Linked DNA regions of Anolis sagrei. The protein of the gene in region 1 purifies or fractionates together with the protein of each later gene. This does not show direct contact. Links are inferred from orthologs where the notes say so. Each region holds a gene or a part of one and is shown in the gene's direction. Other genes may lie near its edges.

Evidence for each region.
Region 2: the proteins of HSCB (region 1) and SDHAF1 purify together in Homo sapiens (co-immunoprecipitation; 3 studies listed by BioGRID and IntAct, with this or other methods). This does not show direct contact. The link is inferred for Anolis sagrei from reciprocal best matches to the Homo sapiens genes HSCB and SDHAF1.
Region 3: the proteins of HSCB (region 1) and ISCU purify together in Homo sapiens (affinity purification with western blotting; 3 studies listed by BioGRID and IntAct, with this or other methods). This does not show direct contact. The link is inferred for Anolis sagrei from reciprocal best matches to the Homo sapiens genes HSCB and ISCU.

The regions. Positions count from the first base shown.
Region 1 is NC_090034.1:60,325,998-60,333,549, reverse strand, and holds the start of HSCB (iron-sulfur cluster co-chaperone protein HscB), read left to right. Parts: upstream 1-4,523; 5' UTR 4,524-4,546; coding exon 4,547-4,779; intron 4,780-7,552. Other genes in the region: CHEK2 (serine/threonine-protein kinase Chk2), read right to left, coding at 2,903-3,015, 3,238-3,445.
Region 2 is NC_090035.1:77,676,218-77,683,396, reverse strand, and holds the start of SDHAF1 (succinate dehydrogenase assembly factor 1, mitochondrial), read left to right. Parts: upstream 1-4,145; 5' UTR 4,146-4,256; intron 4,257-5,720; 5' UTR 5,721-5,770; coding exon 5,771-6,025; 3' UTR 6,026-7,179.
Region 3 is NC_090034.1:29,967,760-29,974,910, reverse strand, and holds the start of ISCU (iron-sulfur cluster assembly enzyme ISCU), read left to right. Parts: upstream 1-4,090; 5' UTR 4,091-4,122; coding exon 4,123-4,227; intron 4,228-7,151. Other genes in the region: SART3 (squamous cell carcinoma antigen recognized by T-cells 3), read right to left, coding at 1,972-2,112.

The DNA.
Region 1 (7,552 bases):
TTAACATTTAGACAAATGACCAGCCACCGCCAGAAGGGACAGAGAGTTTCACCTATGCTGATGATCGTGCCATTACCACTCAAGCAGGGAGCTTTGAGATGGTAGAACAGAAGCTCTTCGAAGCTCTAGGTGCCCTTACTGCCTATTACACGGAAAACCAGCTGATCCCTAACCCATCTAAAACACAGACATGTGCTTTTCATCTCCAGAACAGAGAAGCATCCCGAGCTCTGAAGATCACCTGGGAAGGAATCCCACTGGAGCATTGCAGCGCACCCAAATACATGGGAGTCACTCTGGACCATGCTCTGACCTACAAGACGCACTGCCTGAACATCAAGCAAAAAGTGGGCGCTAGAAACAATATCATACGAAAGCTGACTGGCACAACCTGGGGATCACAACCAGACACAGTGAAGACATCAGCCCTTGCACTATGCTACTCTGCTGCTGAGTATGCATGCCCAGTGTGGAAAACATCTCACCACTCTAAAGCAGTAGATGCGGCCTTAATGAAACATGCCGCCTTATCACGGGGTGTCTGCGCCCTACACCACTGGAGAAATTACACTGTTTAGCCGGTATTGCACCACCTGACATCTGCCGGGAAGTAGCAGCCAATAGTGAAAGGACCAAGGCAGAGACATCTCCAGCTCATCCCTTGTTTGGGTATCAGCCAGCACATCAATGACTTAAATCAAGAAATAGTTTTCTAAGATCTACAGAGACACTCGCTGGAACACCTCAGCAAACGAGAGTCCAAAAGTGGCAGGCTCAAACCCAGAACCTCAATCAATGGCTGATACCGAATGAGAGACTCCCCTCTGGGCACACAGAAAACTGGGCGACTTGGAAGGCTCTGAACAGACTGCGCTCTGGCACCACGAGATGCAGAGCCAACCTCAAGAAATGGGGCTACAAAGTGGAATCCACGACATGCGAGTGTGGAGAAGAGCAAACCACTGACCACCTGCTGCAATGCAACCTGAGCCCTGCCACATGCACACTGGAGGACCTCCTTGCAGCAACACCAGAAGCACTCCAAGTGGCCAGGTACTGGTCAAAGGACATTTAATAGAATACCAAGCTTGCAAACTCTGTTTTATCTGTTTGTTAAAAATTTGTTAAAATTGTAATCCAATTGTCTGGTTGATACTGACACGATAAATACCTGCCCAGAAATCAGTAGGCAGAGAGAGAGTTTCTGCAAGTGAAACAAACAGTAGAAGAAGAGAAACACGCACTGGCAGGTTATGTGAAAGCCAACATTGAGGGAAGACAGTAGTAGTAAACTGCATCAAGTGCAAAACACAAAGAGTGAATACCGTAAAAACAAAATCCAGAGCAGAAGAGAAAACTGGCAAAAGAAGGCTCTCCATGGACAGTTCCTGGGAAAAACTGAGAGCAAAATTGACAAAGAAGAAACATGGATGTGGCTCACAAGTGGAACTTTGAAAAAGAGACAAAGGGCCTGATTCTGGCAGCCCAAGAACAAGCCATTAGAACCAATGCCATCAAAAATTGAAAAGTCGACGGAGATCCCAAGTGTAGACGCTGCAAGGAAGCAGATGAAACAATAGATCCTCAGCTGCTACAAGAAGATCACGCACACGGACTACAAGCAGAGGCACAACACAGTTGCTCAGATGATTAATTGAAACTTGTGCCACAAATACCATCTGCCTGCGACAAATACCCAATAAACAATAATAATATTAACTTTATTAACTTTATTTATACCCCACAAAATCTCCCGAAGGACTCGATGCGGCTTACAAAGGCCAAGGCCGCCGACAACAACAACATACAATACACAATAAAACTCATAAGCAAATAATAAGCATCAAGCAAAACAATAAAACAGTAAAAAGATGACACCATGACGCAATTAAAACCTAAAGGCTGGGCCAAATGTAATAGACAAAATTTAAAAGTGCTGAACTTGACAGGTAATATGTAGAGGTATTTGGAGGTATGTGCAATGTGCAGATAACCCTGAATCTCTAACAAAGTGCATTTGGGACTTGATGCCGGGAGTTTCCTATTCTGGAAAGGCACACTGGAACAGCCAGGTCTTCAGGCTCTTCCTGAAGACTGCCATTGTTGGGGCTTGTCTGATGTCCCTGGGGAGAGAGTTCCAGAGTCGGGGGGCCACCACAGAGAAGACCCTGTCCCTCGTCCCCACCAGACGCGCTTGCGACGCAGGTGGGATCGTGAGCAGGGCCTCTCCAGATGATCGGAGGGAGCGTGCGGGTTCATAAACAGAGATGCGGTCACGCAGGTAGGCAGGTCCCAGACCGTTTAGGGCTTTGTAGGTAAGCACCTGCACCTTGAATTGGGTTCGGTAGGTAAACGGCAGCCAATGGAGCTCCTTAAATAGGAGGGTTGACCTCTCTCTGTTAGGAGCACCAGTTAACATCCTGGCTGCCGCCCGCTGGACCAGCTGAAATTTCCGAGCCGTTTTCAAGGGCAGCCCCATGTAGAGCGCATTACAGTAGTCCAATCTAGAGGTGACCAAGGCATGGACCACCCCAGCCAGATCAGCCTTTACGAGGTATGGTCGCAGTTGGCGCACGAGTCTCAATTGTGAAAAGGCCCTCCCGGACACCGCCTACGCCTGAGCCTCAAACGTAAGCGATGAATCCAAGAGGACTCCCAAACTGCGGACCTGTGACTTCAGGGGGAGTGTAACCCCAACACAGGCTGCCACCCTATACCCCAATCCGGTTTTCGATCGACCAGGAGGACCTTTGTCTTGACGGGATTAATCTTCAGCGTGGAAAATTATATAATAATAATAATATAAATATAATACTATACTAATAAATAAATATAATAAAATAATAAAATAAATATAATACTACAATAATAATAATAATAATTGTATATGATAAATAAATACCCGGATGACCCGGAAATGCTTCTTGCTGGTCTGTTGGTACAACTCTGACAATCTCTGGAAAACATAATCACAGTTCGGGTCCCGCCCAAAGCTGTATTCCGCATTCACGCAGTCTGCAAAGAGAGAACATTTGCATATCCAACTGCTCCATTTGCATATTTAAAAGAAAACAAGGCAAGTGTTTCCAAGTATATTATATATAGAGAATAAATATTAAATATAATGAAGAAATATCATGAATATAAATATAATAATATAAATAATAAAATACAATACTATTATAATGTGTAGTAATAATAATAGCAATGATATGAATGAGAGCGAGCCCTACTAACCGAGGTTGTGGAAGCCCGGGGAGAGGCCGAAGAGCCTTCCCCAGGCCTTGAGGCCTTGTCCGTTTCCTTCTCCTATTTCTCCTTCTTCTGGAATGGAGGGCAGCGGTTCCTGAGTGGGAAGCGTGTCTACAGAGCTCACCGTCGCCGAACTCGAGGAGCCCGAAGTGGACGAACTGGGGCCTTCCTCGGCCTTTACCTCGTGCGACATCTTCGGAGAATGAAGCACGGCCAGGGTTCCCGCTTATTTTTTATACCGGCACGTGACATGGCCCGCCTCAGCCAATCACAGCCCAAGTGAGGGCTTCCTGCAATGGCAGCCCATCCCTGAGAGGACCAATCAGTGATGGCTCTTACTGTCTTATTAAATCACTATTCGCTGTTTCCTTTAAACATGCGCAAAAAAGAATCTTTCCAAAGTTCGACCTGGAACTGGCTCTCTGAGGAGAATACTGCGCATGCGTCTGGTGTGCCGGAGGCGAATAAGTGAATCGCGCGCATGCGCAGAACAGTAGTTAAGTAAAATGTTGCAAAGCTGTAACTGGTTCTGAGAAAACGGCGCATGCGTTTATATGAACGGAGGCGAATAAGAGATTGGAGCGCATGCGCAGAACTGCAGAGTTCGCTCTGAGCGAACAGTACGCATGCGTGGACATCTAACAGAGGCCAAGAATCATAGAATCAAAGAGTTGGAAGAGACCTCATGGGCCATCCAGTCCAACCCCCTGCCAAGAAGCAGGAATATCGCATTCAAATCACCCCTGACAGATGGCCATCCAGCCTTTGTTTAAAAGCTTCCAAAGAAGGAGCCTCCACCACATTCCGGGGCAGAGAGTTCCACTGCTGAACGGCTCTCACAGTCAGGAAGTTCTTCCTCATGTTCAGATGGAATCTCCTCTCTTGTAGTTTGAAGCCATTGTTCCGCGTCCTAGTCTCCAAGGAAATAGAAAACAAGCTTGCTCCCTCCTCCCTGTGGCTTCCTCTCACATATTTATACATGGCTATCATATCTCCTCTCAGCCTTCTCTTCTTCAGGCTAAACATGCCCAGCTCCTTAAACCGCTCCTCATAGGGCTTGTTCTGCAGACCTTTAATCAAGAGATGGTTGACGCGAAAGCGCATGCGTTAATGTGTAACTGAAGTAAAGCCACCTGCACTCCTTATATTTTTATCGGCTTTATACAAACTTATGCAATGCTTTTGATACGAAATAAGGCACTAAATGGTGCGCATGCGCAGATCTGCGACTGAGGCTCATCAGAAACTGGTGCGCATGCGCAGACGTGTAACGGCCCTGAGGGCGACACCACGCATGCGCTCACCCCAAAAGGTCATTTCCCCCCGTCGTAAAGTCCTAGCGATGTGGTTGGGCGCGCTCCGGCGGGGCCTGAGGCCTTGGAGGGCGCTCTCGACGCGGGCCTGGCTCTCATGCTGGAGCTGCGGGCTCTCCCTGCCTCCCTCCGGCGCCCCGTGTCGCTTCTGCCCGTCCTGCCGCGCCCTGCAGCCCCCAGAACCCCAGCAGGACCTCTTCAGCGTCATGGGATGGTGAGGAAACGCCGAAACACGCCAAAAACTCCTATTCTCACGTTTCGCGGGAAATGGGAAGCGAGGACACGGATCTGGGCCGGTCCGAGCATGCGCAGTGTAGAAGGGATGCGTCGCTAAGGGCAACGCTCTAACCTCTCGAACCATCCAATGGGGGATGTCCCATTGGCAAGGGGCGTGGCCACGTGTCTCTTCTTTCCAAAGGGGCGTGGCGAGTGTCACTTTTCCTTTGTTAACCATATTCCTATGCTAAGGAGGGGGGCGTGGCTTTTAGAAGAAGGGGCTTATTTATCATGTCATCAGCAACCAGACCATTGTATTACATTTCTAACAGAACAAAACAAACAGATAAAAAAATAACACAGATCTTGCAAGCTTGGTAGTTGGTTAAATGTCCTTTGACCAGTATCTGGCCACTTGGAGTGCCTCTGGTGTTGCTGCAAGAAGGTCTTCCATTGTGCATGTGGCAGGGCTCTGGTTGCATTGCAGCAGGTGGTCAGTGGTTTGCTCCTCTCCGCACTCGCATGTTGTGGATTCCACTTTGTAACCCCATTTCTTAAGATTGGCTCTGCATCTCGTGGTGCCAGAGCGCAGTCTGTTCAGCTCCTTCCAAGTTGCCCAGTCCTCTGTGTGCCAAGGAGGGAGTCTCTCATCTCATATTATTATTATTATTATTATTATTATTAACATCTCCCGCAGGACTCGATGCGGCTTACAAAGGCCAAGGCCTCAACACAACAACAGCAAAACAGTAACAATACAATTTAAAGCAAATTAAAACATAAGCAATAACAAAACAATACATCAATTACGCAATAAAAACCAGGGCCGGGCCAGTGATGGGTACAGGTTAAAAAGTGCTGGGTGTGGCAGGAGGTATGTTGGATTTCCGGGCAAGTGCAATGTGCAGAGAGTCTTAAACTCTAATAAAGTGCTTCTGGGACGTAGTGCTGGAGGTTATCCTATTCCGGAAAGGCACATCAGAATAGCCAGGTCTTCAGGCTCTTCCTAAAGATTGCCAACATTGGGGCTTGTCTGATGTCCTTGGGGAGAGAGTTCCAGAGTCGGAGGGCCACCACAGAGAAGGCCCTGTCCCTCGTCACCACCAAATGCGCTTGCGACGCAGGTGGGATCGTAAGCAGGGCCTCTCCAGATGAACGAAGGGATCGCGTGGGTTCATACACGGAGATGCGGTCACGCAGGTAGGCAGGTCCCAAACCGTTTAGGGCTTGGTAGGTAAGCACCTGCACCTTGAATTGGGTTCGGTAGGTAAACGGCAGCCAATGGAGCTCCTTAAACAGAAGGGTTGACCTCTCTCTGTAAGGAGCGCCAGTTGACATCCTGGCCACCGCCCATTGAACCAGTTGGAATTTCCGAGCCGTTTTCAAGGGCAGCCCGACATAGAGCGCATTACAGTAATCCAATCTAGAGGTGACCAAGGCATGGACCACCCCAGCCAAATCAATCCATATGACCCATGGATTGAGGTGCTGGGCTTGAGCCTGCTACTTTTGGACCCTCGCTTGCTGAGGTGTTCCAGTAAGTGTCTCTGTAGATCTAAGAAAACTATTTTTTGATTTAAGTCGTTGATGTGCTGGCTGATACCCAAACAAGGGGTAAGCTGGAGATGTCACTGCCTTGGTCCTTTCACTATTTGTTGCTACTTCCTGGCGGATGTCAGGTGGTGCAATACCGGCTAAGCAGTGTAATTTCTTCAGTGGTGTAGGGCGCAGACACCCTGTGATAATGCGGCATGTCTCATTAAGAGCCACATCCACTGTTTTAGTGTGGTGAGATGTGTTCCACACTGGGCATGCATACTCAGCAGCAGAGTAGCATAGCGCAAGGGCAGATGTCTTCACTGTGTCTGGTTGTGATCCCCAGGTTGTGCCAGTCAGCTTTCATATATATTGTTTCTAGCGTCCACTTTTTGCTTGATGTTTAGGCAGTGCTTCTTGTAGGTCAGAGCACGGTCCAAAGTGACTCCCAGGTATTTGGGTGCGCTGCAATGCTCCAGTGGGATTCCTTCCCAGGTAATCCCCAGAGCTCGGGATGCTTGTGTTGTGTGTTATCAGCTAAAGGACGTGGTCTGTGACCAGGCGTGAGAACACTCGGAGGGCTTTCTCCACTGATAGTAGTTCTAGCGCTTTGATATGATTTTCCTGTTCCCGTGGGGACAAGTGTCTATGGATCATGACCCTTGCAGGTGGGCGCCCCAACCCCAGCAGAACGCAGCTGTTGTCAGTTATAGTGATGGCCGAGGGACCATCCCTGAGCAAACATTGGATCTCTTTGTCCACCTGGGCAGGGTCTGGAGCACCGATTGTGGTGGTTCCAGTACATGTTCTGTTGGTCAAGGAGCAGGTTGAACACTCGGAGGAACCTGGTTTGCAGATGCCGTAGCCTTAGTCGCGTGAACCTGGTGACAGTGGTGGTAGAGGCCGTGTGGCCCAAGATGCATGGCTCGTGGTGTGGAATTTGTTGATAATGGCCCACAGGTTGTGGAGCCGTTCCTCCAGGAGGTAGGACTTCTGTGTTGTGGAGTCTATAACAGCTCCGATGTTTGGGAGACGGATAGGACTTCTCTCAGTCAGCCACAAGGCCCAGAGCCAGCAGGAGAGACAAAGTGTATTGAATGTCAGACTGTAATTGCTCATGAGAGACAGGTGACTGTCATCAAAGTATGGGAAAATTATGACCTCTTGCTGTCGCAGGTAGGCTGCCACCATGGCCATGCATTTGGTAAATACTCGGGGCACATGGAGAGACCAAA
Region 2 (7,179 bases), on another chromosome or scaffold:
ACATCCCGTGATAATGCGGCATGTCTCATTAAGAGCCACATCTACTGTTTTAGCGTGGTGAGATGTGTTCCACTCTGGGCATGCGTACTCAGCAGCAGAGTAGCAAAGGGGAGATGTCTTCACTGTGTCTGGCTGTGATCTCCAGGTTGTGCCAGTCAGCTTTTGTATGATATTGTTTCTAGCACCCACTTTTTGTTTGATGTTCAGGCAGTGAAAGCTGAAGGGCACAGATAGCAAAACAAACACCACAGGCATGTAAACCCTTCCCTATGCCATCCAAAGGTTTTGGTTAAACCACTGAGTTGTGGAACTTGCTGACCAAAAGGCCGACGGTCCGAATCCAGGGAGCGGGTGAGCTCCCACTGTTGCCCCAGCTTCTGCCAACCTAGCAGTATGAAAACATAATAATAATATCAACACTTTATTTAACAACACTACCATCTCCCCAAGGGACTCAGTGCAGCTTACATGAGGCCGAGCCCGAACACACAATACAAGCAATAATCACAACAATATAAGCAATTAAAATAAAACATAAACATATAACATTATCAATAAGACAACATACAATTAAAACTATGGGAAGGCCAAATGTAAAATTAAAATTGTAAATAGTGCTGAACATGGACGAACAGGTGATAGTGGTGTTTGTGGAGAGACATATGGGCAGACCTAAAAAATGTAAAGTGCTTTAGCGGGACAAAGTGCTATGGGATCATTAATCCGGGAAGGCACACTGGAACAACCACGTCTTCAAACTCCTCCTGAAAACTGCCAGAGTTGGGGCCTGTCTGATGTCCTTAGGGAGTGAGTTCCAGAGTCGAGGGGCCACCACCGAAAAGGCCCTCTCATCCCCACCAATCGCGCCTGCGATGCTGGCGGGATCAAGAGCAGGGCCTCTCCAGATGAACAAAGATATTGTGTGGGTTCGTATACATGCAGATGTGAGTAGATCAATAGATGCCACTTCTGCGGGAAGGTAACAGGACCTCCAGATAGTCATGCTGGCCACATGACCTTGGAGGTGACTGTGGACAATGCTGGCTCTTCGACTTAGAAATGGAGATGAACACCAACCCCTAGAGTCGGACATGACTGGACTTAACAGCAAAGGGAAACCTTTACCTTTTAGATATGTGTGTGTGTGTACAGTGGGGGAAAAAGTATTTAGTCAGATAGGAATTGTACAAGTTCTCCCACTTAAAAATATGAGAGAGGCCTGTGATTGACATCTTAGGTAGACCTCAACTATGAGAGACAATATCTCATCTTTTTAAGTGGGAGAACTTGTACAATTCCTATCTAACTAAATACTCCCCCCCCCCCACTGTATGTATGTATGCATGCTAGAATATGCTGTTGCCTGGGAGTGTGTTGGATTGCCCTCTGGAGGTTTTTAAGCAGAGGCTGGATGGCCATCTGCTAGGAGGGATCAGATGGTATCTTCCTGCCTGGCAGAAAGGTGGCTTTTGTGGGTCCTTTCATGCTCTAGGTCTTCTATGATCCCATTTGGAACTGCCTTGGCTCAAAGCTATGGAATGATGGGAGTTGTAGTTTCCGACAGACCTCACAACTTTTGAGGATGCCTGCCGTAGAACTGGGCGAAAGGTCAGGAGAGAATGCTTCTGGAACATGGCTAGGCAGCCTGGAAAACTCACAGCAACCCAAAGTTGTTCATTATTATTATTATTATTATTATTACCCCAGGACCCCCTGAAATTATCTTAAAAGCCAACTTAAAAAGCCAAGGTAGTTCAAACTGCATTAATTCTATAGTTTAGGAGCCATAAAGCCTATCACATTATGTAAAGCCAATCTCCTATGTCCAGCAATATTGTGAGGACCACTCTCACAACCACCATGTCAGGCTACACAGAGAAACCATTGAATTCCACAAGTATGTGGACAATTTCAACAGAATGGAGGAAACCATGGAAATGAACAAAATCTGGCTACCAGTATTAAAAAAACTCTAAAATTAAAACAGCAAAACAACAGAGAGGAAACAATCAGGAACATTAATCACCTCTCAACAAAAGATTGCTCCAGGCACTGCCAGGCCATCAAATGCTAATCAAGGTGGTCAGTTGAGACATTCACACCCAGCTCCAGCAGACAAGAGTTCTTTGTCCCACTCTGGTCTTTCCACAGATATATAAACCCAATTTTCCTAGTTCCAACAGTCCTCACTACCTCTGAGGATGCTTGCCATAGATGCAGGCGAAATGTCAGGAGAGAATGCCTCTAGAACATGGCCATAGAGGCCGAAAAAATCTACAACAACCCATTGTTAGGACCGTCTAGGTGCCCTCAGGGTTTCTGTGCAGGAGAAGACAGATTTTGGCCTGCGTCAATAGGAGTCGAGTGTCCAGAACCAGGGAAGTCATGCTCTATTCTGCCTGGAATCACACTGCATCCAATTCTGGACACCACAATTGAAGGGAGATGTTGACAAAGCTGGAATGTGTCCAGAGGAGAGCGACTAAAATCATTTGGTGGAATCCTCCCACCAAAAACCCTCCTCCTCTGTGATTAGAACTGTTAACATTGTTGCATTATCAAATGCCTAGATGTCATCGGGGTTTGTGAAATTATTAGGCAGTTCACCCAAAATGCCTGAAGAAGAGAAGGCTGAGAGGAGACATGATGAGGGCCATGTATAAATATGTGAGGGGAAGTCATAGGGAGGAGGGAGCAAGCTTGTTTTCTGTTTCCCTGGAGACTAGGACACAATGGAACAATGGCTTCAAAATAGAGGAAAGGAGATTCCACCTGAACATGAGGAAGAACTTCCTGACTCTGAGAGTTGTTCAGCAGTGGAACTCTCTGCCCCGGAGTGTGGTGGAGGCTTTGAAACAGAGGCTGGATATGAGGCGAAGTCATAGGGAGGAGGGAGCAAGCTTGTTTTCTACTGCCCTAGAGACCTTGAAGTGACTGGACTGACCTTGAGGGAGCTGGGGGTGGTGACGGCCGACAGGGAGCTCTGGCGTGGGCTGGTCCATGAGGTCACGAAGAGTCGGAGACGAATGAAAGAATGAACAACAGAGACTAGGATGCAATGGAACAATGCCTTCAATGCCTTATGAGCCAACAATGTGATGTAGTGGCAAAAAAAGCCAATGGGATGTTGGCCTGCATCAAGAGGAGCATAGTGTCTAGATCCAGGGAAGTCCTGCTCCCCATGCTCGATTCCGCTTTGGTTAGACCACACCTGGAATATTGTGTCCAATTCTGGGCACCACAATTCAAGAGAGATGTTGACAAGCTGGAATGTGTCCAGAGGAGGGTGACTCAAATGGTCACGGATCTGGAGAACAAGCCCTATGAGGAGCGGCTTAAAGAGAGCTGGGCATGTTTAGACTTCAGAAGAGAAGGCTGAAAGGAGACATGATGAGGGCCATGGATCAAGATGTGAGAGGAAGTCATAGGGAGGAGGGAGGCCCTGGAGGCTAGGACACAATGGAACAATGTCTTCAAACTACACGAAAGGAGATTCCACCTGAACATTAGGAAGAACTTTGTGAGAGCTGTTCAACAGTGGAACTCTCTGCCCCGGAGTGTGGTGGAGGCTTTGAAACAGAGGCTGGATGGCCATCTGTCGGGGGTGCTTTGAACGCAATTGTCCTGCTAATCACCTCCTGACTCTGAGAGCTGTTCAGCAGTGGAACTCTCTGCCCCGGAGTGTGGTGGAGGCTTTGAAACAGAGGCTGGATGGCCATCTGTCGGGGGTGCTTTGAACGCAATTGTCCTGCTAATCACCTCTCAACACAAAGTTTGCTCCAGGCACTGCCAGGCAATCAAATGCTAATCAAGGTGGTCAGTTGAAACATTCACACCTAGCTCCAGCAGACAAGAGTCCTTTGTCCCACCCTGGTCTTTTCACAGATATATAAACCCATTTTCCTACTTCCAATACACCTCTGAGGATGCTTGCCATAGATGCAGGCGAAATGTCAGGAGAAAATGCCTCTAGAACATGGCCATATAGCCCGGAAAAACCTACAACAACCCAATTGTCCTGCTTCTTGGCAGAATGGGATTGGACTCTTCCAACTCTAGGATTCTATGATTCCAAATAGGCGGGGCCTCCAAGCCTACACGTGCTTTGAATGGGCGGAGCGACAAGAGTTGGGGAACGCCCCCTCTAGGGCCAGGGAGCCAATGGGAAGCGCGCAGGAGGCTCAGATGGCGCGCCAAGGTTTCTGCAATGGCGGGCTTGGGCCTGCCTAGGAGCTGAAATCCGGAAGAGAGAAGGAGTGAGCGAGAAGGGAGCCCGGTGGGAAGGGCAGGAGGGGGTCCCAAAGGGGGCCAGCCTGGGTGGGAGTCCGGCAAAGAGAAGGGACGGGCAGGACCAGCTCTGGGACTGGTGGGGTTGCCATGAGGTTGCATGATGGACCTGCCCTTGACCCCTTTCCCCCTAAATCCTGAAGGCCAGCCAATATGGATTTACTACATCCCTGGGCTATTATTATTATTATTATTAGGCTGCTATTAAAATAGTAGAAGGGCTACTAATTAGTATTATTAGGCTAGTATTAGCATAATAAAAGTTATTATTATTAGGCCTCTATTAAAATAATAGGAGGGCTACTAATTATTATTCTTAGGCTAGTATTAACATAATAAAAGAGTTATTATTATTATTAGGCTGGTATTAACATAAAAGGATTATTATTATTATTAGGCTGCTATTAAAATTAAAGTGATAAAAGAGCTTCTATTATTATTACAGAGATGCTAATACTACTTATTATTATTGTAGGACTGGTATTCAATTAATAAAAGGGCTATTATATTATTATTACTATTATTGGGTTGCTATTAAAATAATAAAGAGACTTATTGTTATTATTATTATTATTATTATAGGGCTGCTATTAAAATAATGAAAGAGCTTCTATTGTTATTATAGGGCTGCTATTACTTATTGTAGGGCGGATATTCAAATAATAAAAGGGCTATTATATTATTATTGGAGATACAAAGTGATTCGCAACATTAAAAACAACAACAATGCATTGTCGAAGGCTTTCATGGCTGGAATCACTAGGTTCTTGTGGGTTTTTTTCGGGCTATAGAGGCATGTTCTAGAGGCATTCTCTCCTGACGTTTCGCCTGCATCTATGGCAAGCATCCTCAGAGGTTGTGAGGTCTGTTGGAAGTAGGAAAAATGGGTTATATATCTGTGGAATGGCTGGGGTGGGGCAAGGAGCTCTTTCCTACTGCAGTTAGGTGTGAATGTTTAGCTGATCACCTTCATTAGCATTTGAAGGCCTGCCTGAGCCTGGGAAAATCCGTTGCTGGGAGGTGTTAATCTGTGCCTGGTTTTTTCCTCTCTGTTGTTTAGCACCTCCCAGCAACGGATTTTCCCAGGCTCAGGCAGGCCTTCAAATGCTAATGAAGGTGATCAGCTAAACATTCACACCTAACTGCAGCAGGGAAGAGCTCCTTGCCCCACCCCAGCCATTCCACAGATATATAACCCATTTTTCCTACTTCCAACAGACCTCACAACCTCTGACGATGCTTGCCATAGATGCAGGCGAAACGTCAGGAGAAATGCCTCTAGAACATGGCTCTATAGCCCGAAAAGACCCACAAGAACCTAACAACAATGCAATTTGAGATCTCCAAAACGTATTAAAAGTAGAACGACACATACAGGTTGGCCTATTTAATTCCCCTCACTCTTATCCTGACACTTTGTCTTTGTTCCTCAGGCTTTGCTTACCTGGAGCACTCCATCCTTGCAACTGGGAGGAGCTGCTCCATGGGCCGCCACAGTAAGCTCCAGAGGCAGGTGCTGTCCTTGTACCGCAGCTTCCTTCGGGCCGGGAAAGGCAAGCCGGGCTTCCTGCCGCAGATCCGAGCCGAGTTCCGGCAGAACGCACAGATCCCACGGACAGAGGTCCTGCTCGTAGAGTACCTTCTCCGCCGTGGACAGAGGCAGCTGGAGCAGCTCCAGAACACCCATACCAAGCAGATGGGGGCCTTCGTCAAAACCAGGGAGGAGGGAGACAGATGACACCAGAGACGGGTGATGATGAAGCCTGCTGGGATTTTCTCGATCGTCCACACTTTTTTAATGAGCTGCTGGAGTTGTTGTGTCAGCTCAGGTCCACCACCTTTAAAGATTTCAACAGGGATCCCATCAGGTCCGCTGACTTTGTTATTTTTCAGGTGATTGAATGGAGGAATAACGGGCAACTCGCTCTCTGCAGAACCCATGAAGAAACAATGTTTGAGCTGCTGGAGTTGTTGTGAAGGCTCAGGTCCACCACCTTTAAAGATCTCAACAGGGATCCCATCAGGTCCGTTGACTTTGTTATTTTTCAGATGATTGAATGGAGGAATAACTGGCAACTCGCTATCTGCAGAACCCGTGAAGAAACAATGATTGAGCTGCTGGAGGTGTTGTGTCAGCTCAGGTCTACCACCTTTAAAGATTTCAACAGGGATCCCATCAGGTCCGCTGACTTTGTGTTTTTCAGTTAACTGAATGGAGGAATAACTGGCACCTTACTATCTGCAGAATCTCGTGGAGAAACAATGATTTGGTTCCGTTTCTTTAATCCTTCCAAGGTCATAAGAGAACCCCGAGCAGACCTTGGATGCATCTCTACACTGTAGAATGAATGACGTTTGGTACCACGTTAGCTGCTATAGAAATAATTTGATCTGTAGTTTGCATTCTTTGTAAAACTGCAACTCCCAGGGCTTTCATTGCCTTGCCGTGGCAGTTAAAAAGGTGTTAAACTGCATTCAGTCTGCAGTGTAGATGTTAAGCTGCTTTAAACCAGTTCCATGAATGCATCCTTTTGCATAATAATAATAATAATAATAATAATAATAATTCCTAGACACTTGGGAAGTGTCCAACGTGTGATCCAATACAATAGCCAGCAGAGTGTCTGCTGTGGACTCATCTTGTTGTGTTTCTAAAATAATAATAATAATAATAATAATAATAATAATAATAATAATAATGATAATAATAATGATAATAATAATAATAATAATAGAGAAGCCAATAAAAAATAGAAATTACATTGGCCAATGCACATTTTATGTTTCCAATGTTAGCCCTGTTTCTGGGTTTATTTAACCTTCTGATTCCATTATTATTATTATTATTATTATTATTATTATTATTTGAAACACAACAAGATTAGTATACAA
Region 3 (7,151 bases), about 30 Mb from region 1:
GGTTTTTTTAGTGATGAAGCCCATTTTCATTTGTGTGGATCCATCAACAAACAAAACATGCGCTACTGGGCTGACAACAATCCTCGAGAATTGCATCAAAAGCCTTTGCATTCACCTAAAATCACAGTGTGGTGTGCAATTTCCTCAGCTGGAATTATTGGTCCCTGGTTCTTTGAGGAAAATGAAATTGCAGTGACAGTTAATTCGGACTGGTATGTAAACATGTTACAGGAATTTTTTTCCTAAGGCTAGATGGGTTGGATTTAGGGGACATTTGGTTCCAACAAGACGGTGCAACTGAACACAATTCAAAAGCATCTATGGCTGTTTTGAGGGAACACTTCCCAGAGCGCCTCATCTCAATTAGGGGGGATTTGGAGGGGCTGGCCCGCTCTCCAGATTTGGCCCCTTGTGATTTTTTTTCTATGGAGTTTTTTGAAATCCCGTGTTTATGTGAACCCTCCAAGGACCCTACAAGATTTGAAGACCAACATCCAGGAAGAAATTGCCAACATAACGCCTGCTATGCTGGCAAGAGTCATGACAAATGCTAGAAATCAGTTTACTCAGTGTATGGAGAATGGGGGACATCACCTACCTAATTTGATCTTCAAAACTACGTAAAACAAAACTTTAGGTATGCACCTACATTATAAAAAAATTCTGATTCATACAATGGGTTTTATTAAGTTTTGAAAAAAGGAAGTTATGGTGCTTCACCCTGTATATCTGTGAAATAATGTCCAAGGTGGGAGAAAGAACTCTTGACTGTTTGAGGCAAGTGTGAATGTTGCCACTTGCCAGCTTGATTAGCATTGAATAGCAGTTTCAAATCCTGGCAGCTTCCTGCCTGGTTGGGAGGTGTTTGCTGACCCTGATTGCTTCCTTTCTGGATTTCCCCTGTTTATTAGAGTTGTTCTTTATTTACTGTCCTGATTTCAGAGTGTTTTAATACTTGTATCCTGATTTTGTTCATATTCATGGTTTCTTTCTTTCTGTTGAAATTGTTCACGTGCTTCTTGTGGATTTCAATGGCTTCTCTATGTAGTCTAACACAGAGATAGTGGAGGTATTGTGGGGTAAAAATGCAGTAAATAAAATAATATATATATACACACACAATGTATATAATTACATTATGTATTTATATACATTATGTATATATATATATATTATTTATAGATATTTATATACATATTATTATACTTACATTGGTGATAGTATGATAGCTGGGTCCAGAAGCTCCGAGCGTTACGCACATTCCGCAATGGCGGTTGTGAATAAGGGAAGGGGAGATCGGCACACTGAGGGTGGGACTATACTTCGTAGTTACATTTGGTGGAAGGATAGAATGGAGGGGAAGGTTAGGATAAGGTAAGGGTTAGGAATAGGGTTTGGGGTCAGGTAAGGATTAGGATTAGGGTTAAGGTAAGGTTTAGGGTTTGGGTTAGGGTAAGGTTTAGGGTTCGAGTAAATAAATAAATAAATAAATACCATTAAAGAACTCTTACATGCCTTCTATAATATTTGTGTTCCGTTTTGCGTTGCGCAAACAGCGCTCCCGAAGGAGCAAAGCGGAAACAGTGTAACACTCTGAGCTTCCAGACCCAGCCTTCATACTATTCCCCTTACATTTATATTATATAGATAACATGTATAATTATATTATTTTTATATTATTTTATATATTATATTAATATTGTAAAATATAAGGCTATTAAGGTTATCCATTAAATGTATATATTATTTATATATGATTATTAGTTATATTTTAATATCATTATTCATACTATTATATCTCTGATCTCTAGATTGAGGCATATTTTTTTAAAAAACCATGACATTGAAAACCTGCATCAAACAGAAGGAGGCATTGGAAGTTGGATGCAATGCAAGCCATGCTTCCTCAGGGGGCGTGGTCTCCCATCGCGAAGCCCCGCCCCGCGCGAAGCCCCGCTCCGGGGCCCTCACCTGCTCTTCCAAGCGCTGAATTTCAGCCTGGTTCTCCTTTTCCTCGTCGGCCTCCGAGGAGTCTTCGGACTCCAGTTCCTCGTCCCCTTCCGAGCCTCCTGCGGCCCACAACGACGCCTCAGCTTCGCCGCCGTCCGCCATCTTTCTCCGCCGTTAAGCCCTTTCAGCTGTCTAATCCACTGCCTGACGGGAAATGACGCGACTGTTTTGGCCGCCTGCATCTTTCCAGCAAGCGGTCCGTTAGACGCCTCTGCTTGGGGGCTTGAAGGAAGGTCAAACTATGTCCTTTCCGGAAGCACGGCTTAGGATGCCGGGGCGGCCATCAAGAGTGTGTCAGTTTCCTTGTCCTTCAATGGCAGCCTATGCTTGCTGGCCCTTGAAAGAAGCATAGTAACAATAAAAATATGCCAATATTAATCAAATAAGAAGAAGAATTCTTCCAACTCTCAACAAGGATGGGATCGATTTTAATCTTTCCATGTTGCGGATTTTAAATTGTACTTTAATGTGATTTTATTATTAATATCATTCCAATAATAATAATAATAATATGACGTGTGATCCAATATATCAGCCAGCAGAGTGATCTTGTCTGCTGTGGACTCATCTTGTTATGTTTCAAAGATCGATGCTTTTGAGCTGTGGTGTTGGAGGAAAGTGCTGAGAGTGCCTTGGACTGCGAGAAGATCCAACCAGTCCATCCTCCAGGAAATAAAGCCCAACTGCTCACTGGAGGGAAAGATACTAGAGACAAAGTTGAAGTACTTTGGTCACATCATGAGGAGACAGGAAAGCCTAGAGAAGACAATTATGCTGGGGAAAGTGGAAGGCAAAAGGAAGAGGGGCCGACCAAGGGCAAGATGGATGGATGGCATCCTTGAAGTGACTGGACTGACCTTAAGGGAGCTGGGGGTGGTAACGGCCGACAGGGAGCTCTGGCGTAGGCTGGTCCATGAGGTCACGAAGAGTCGGAGACGACTGAACGAATGAACATTAGTATTATCATTATTGGAATATTAATATTTATTATCACATTAAAGATTCTTAATTGTAATTTAATGTGATATTATTATTAATAATGCAATAATAATAATAGTACAATAATATTGGAATAATACTGTTATTATTATTGGAATATTATTATTAATATATTATTCAAATTAATATTACTAATAATATTAATAATGATAATTCCATTAATAATAATTCCAAGTCCCAGCAAACACACGATGAATGTTAATCTTTGTATGTTGTGAACTTTAAACTTTATTTTCATGTGATATGCTTGCTGGGGCTTGGAATCATTATTAGAATCATAATAATATTGGAAAAATTTTATATTTATTTATTTATTTATTTATTTGATGCATTTATTAACCGCCATTCTCAGCCCTTTAGGGCGACTCATGGCGGTGTACAACACATATAAAAAGGCAATTTACAAAGAGGCAATTACAACAACATATTAACAATACAACAATTACAAAAATTACACTAAAAATCCGCTTCGTCTCATAGTGGAATCATAACCAATCTCATATTCCTTGTTCCTTTCCAGTCGTCTTTACCACATTTTTATAGCACTTAATTAAATGCCTTCTCGAACAGCCATGTCTTAAGGCTTTTTCGGAAGGACATAAGGGAGGGCGCCTGTCTGATGTCTGCAGGGAGAGTCATTCTTTAGAGTCATTCATTATAGTCATTCTTAGAATGATAATATCACATTAAAATACAATTTAAAATCCGCAACATACAAAGATTATTATTATTCAAATAACATTATTAATAATCTATTATTATCCCAATAAAATTAATATATTGGAATAATATTATTAATAATATAACATTAAAGTACAGTTCAAAATCCACAACATACAAAGATTAACCTCGACCCTGTACTTGGTGGGACTTGGAATTATTGTTATTGGAATAATAATATTGGAAGTTTGAGAAAAGAACCTCTGGAAGGTAAAGGCTTAACTCCTGACCGCGTTTCCCCCCCCCCCCCCCCCTTTTGCTGGGCTTAGCGAAGGGAGTGACGACACAAGGAGGCGTGACCTATGGCGCCCTTGCGGCTCTTCCCCTGGCGGCCACGCCCCCGGGGGCCACGCCCCCGTTGCCCTCCACTGTCCTCTGTTCAAAACATTCAAGATGGCGGCGCTTCGGGCAAGCAGCGTGCGCAGCGCGGCGGCAGCCCTTCTGCGGCCTCGCCCGGGCCCGGCCTCCACCTCCCTGGTCGCGGGCTACCACGAGAAGGTGAGCCCGAGGCTTCCTCCGCTTCTAGGCCCAAAAGAAAGCTCGGCCTCGCTGGCCTTTGGAAGCCCCTTCTTGGCATTTGGGACTTCGAGTCCCAGAAGCCTCGGCTGCCTTGGCCTGTGGCCGAGCATTCTGGGAGCAGCAGTCCCAAGCACTTTGGAGGCCGGGGAAACTAGTTAGGGTCAGGAAAGATATTGGACACATCTTGTAGGATATTTGTGCGCATGCGCCGCTCAGAGCCTTCTTTGGGAGAGAAGAAAAGGGATAGTAATAATGCTAGTGATGATAATCATAATAATTATGATAACAATCATAATAATATAATAATAATGGTAATACTACTGGTTATGATAATGGTAATAAATACTAATCATAAGAATGATAATATTGATGATAAAAATTATAGTAATAATACTGATGATGATATTGCTAATAATACTGATGATAATGGTAATAATAATGATAATTGTACTACTACTGATGATAATAATGGTAATCCTGATGATGATAATGTAATACTGATTATGAAGATGATAAGTATAATGGTAATAATACTGGTGGTAATAATGTTAATGGTACTAATACTGACGATAATAGTAATGGTAATAATAGTGTTTGTTGTTGTTGTTATTTGTTCAATCACTTCCGACTCTTTGTGAACTCAAGCTCCCTGTCGGCCGTGGCCACCCCCAGCTCCTTCAAAGTTAAGCCAGTCACTTCAAGGATAACATCCATCCATCTTGCCCTTCGTTGGCCCCTTCCATTTTTCCCAGCATGATTGTCTTCTCCACGTTTTCCTGTCCTTTCATGATGTGGCCAAAGGACTTCATCTTTGCCTCTAATATCCTTCCCTCCAGTGAGCAGTCGGGCTTTATTTCCTGGACTACGGACTGGTTTGATCTTCTCACGGTCCAAGCCACTCTCAGAATTTTCCTCCAACACCACAGTTCAAAAGCATCTATCTTCCTTCACTCAGCCTTCCTTATGGTCAACCTCTCACATCCATATAATGCAATTGCTTTAACTATGCGGATCTTTGTGGCTAGTGTGATGTCTCTACTCTTCACTATTTATTGAGATTGATCATTGCTCTCCTCCCAAGAAGTAAATGTCTTCTGATTTCCTGGCTGCAGCCTGCATCTGCAGTAATCTTCGTGCCTAGAAATACAAAGTCTGTCACTGTCTCCACATTTTCTCCCTCTATTTGCCAGTTATCAATCAGTCTGGTGGCCATAATCTTGGTTTTTTTATGTTTAACTGCAACCCAGTTTTTGCACTGATGATGATGGTAATAATAATGATAATGGTACTAATGCTGACAGCAATAATAATGGTAATAATACTGATAATGATAATGAAAATGTTACTAATACTGACTATGATGATGATGATGATGATAATATTGATGATGGTAATAATGATAATGGTTCTAATGCTGATGATTATGTTAATGATAATAGTTCCTAATTGCATCTAGATTGAGCCCATAGACTGCGATGAGGACAGTTCCTCTTCCACTTGCTGAAATATATTACTAATATCCCTAATAAATAATAGCCAGGCCTCTTTTTCGGGGCTGCCCATGTGGAAGGGAAGCCCTAACTGGTAGGGCAGCACCAGGTTGGTTTGGCTTGAAAGTAATAGGCCCAAGTGGATCCTTGGAATGACTGTGGTGGGCCTTCATGTGGCACAACCATGAACCTGGGACCCCAGGTCTCAGCGGTGGCCGGGGGAGCATTCGCACAATTATAACCTGTGCGCCAGCTGTGCCCATATCTTGGGAGGTCTGACTTGGCCACGGTAGTTCACGTTCTGGTTATTTATTATTTACATTATTTCTATCCCGCCCATTTCAGCCTGAAGGCGATTCAGGGCGGTATACACAGTCGGCACAATTCGATGCCGAAACAAAATACATACATTGATAAAGCAAAAACATCAAGTGGAATTAAACATAAACGACAGTGCATAATAAACAATTTAAAAAGAGACTATGTCCTGTCATTCAAATCTTCATCGATTACATTGTCTTGGCCGTTCCTGGGTCAATTTCCAACTCTAGTTTGTCTGTTTACTCCGGGGTTCCGAATGCTTGCTCGGAGAGCCAAGTTTTTACTCTTTTTCGGAAAGTCAGGAGGAAGGGGGCTGATCTAATATCCCTAGGGAGGGAGTTCCACAGCCGGGGGGCCACCACAGAGAATGCCCTGTCTCTCGTCCCCGCCAGACGTGCTTGCGAAGCAGGCGGGATCGAGAGCAGGGCCTCCCCAGACTATCTTAAGTTCCTGGGGGGTTCGTAGGGAGAGATGCATTCAGATAGATAGACTGGGCCAGAACCATTTAGGGCTTTATAGGCTAAAGCCAGCACTTTGAATTGAGCCCGGTAGCAGACTGGCAGTGAGTGGAGCTGATTCAACAGAGGAGTTGTATGCTCCCTGAGCCCCGCTCCTGTTAGCAACCTGGCTACCGCACGCTGGACCATTTGAGGCTTCCGGGCCGTCTTCAAAGGCAACCCCACGTAGAGCGCATTGCAGTAATCTATACGGGATGTAACCAGAGCGTGGACCACCGTAGCCAAGTCAGACTTCCCAAGGTACGGGTGCAGCTGGCGCAAAAGTTTTAATTGTGCAAATGCTCCCCTGGTCACTGCCGAAACCTGGACATCCAGGCTCAGCGATGAATCCAGGATCACACCCAAGCTGCGAACCTGCGTCTTCAGGGGGAGTGTAACCCCGTCTAACACAGGCTGTAACCCTATGCCCTGTTCGGCCTTTCGACTGACCAGGAGTACCTCTGTCTTGTCTGGATTCAATCTCAATTTTTTAGCCCTCATCCAGTCCGACACAGCGGCCAAGCACCGGGTCAGGACCTGAACAGCCTCCTTAGTAGCAGGTGGAAAGGAGTGACAGAGTTGGACATCATCTGCA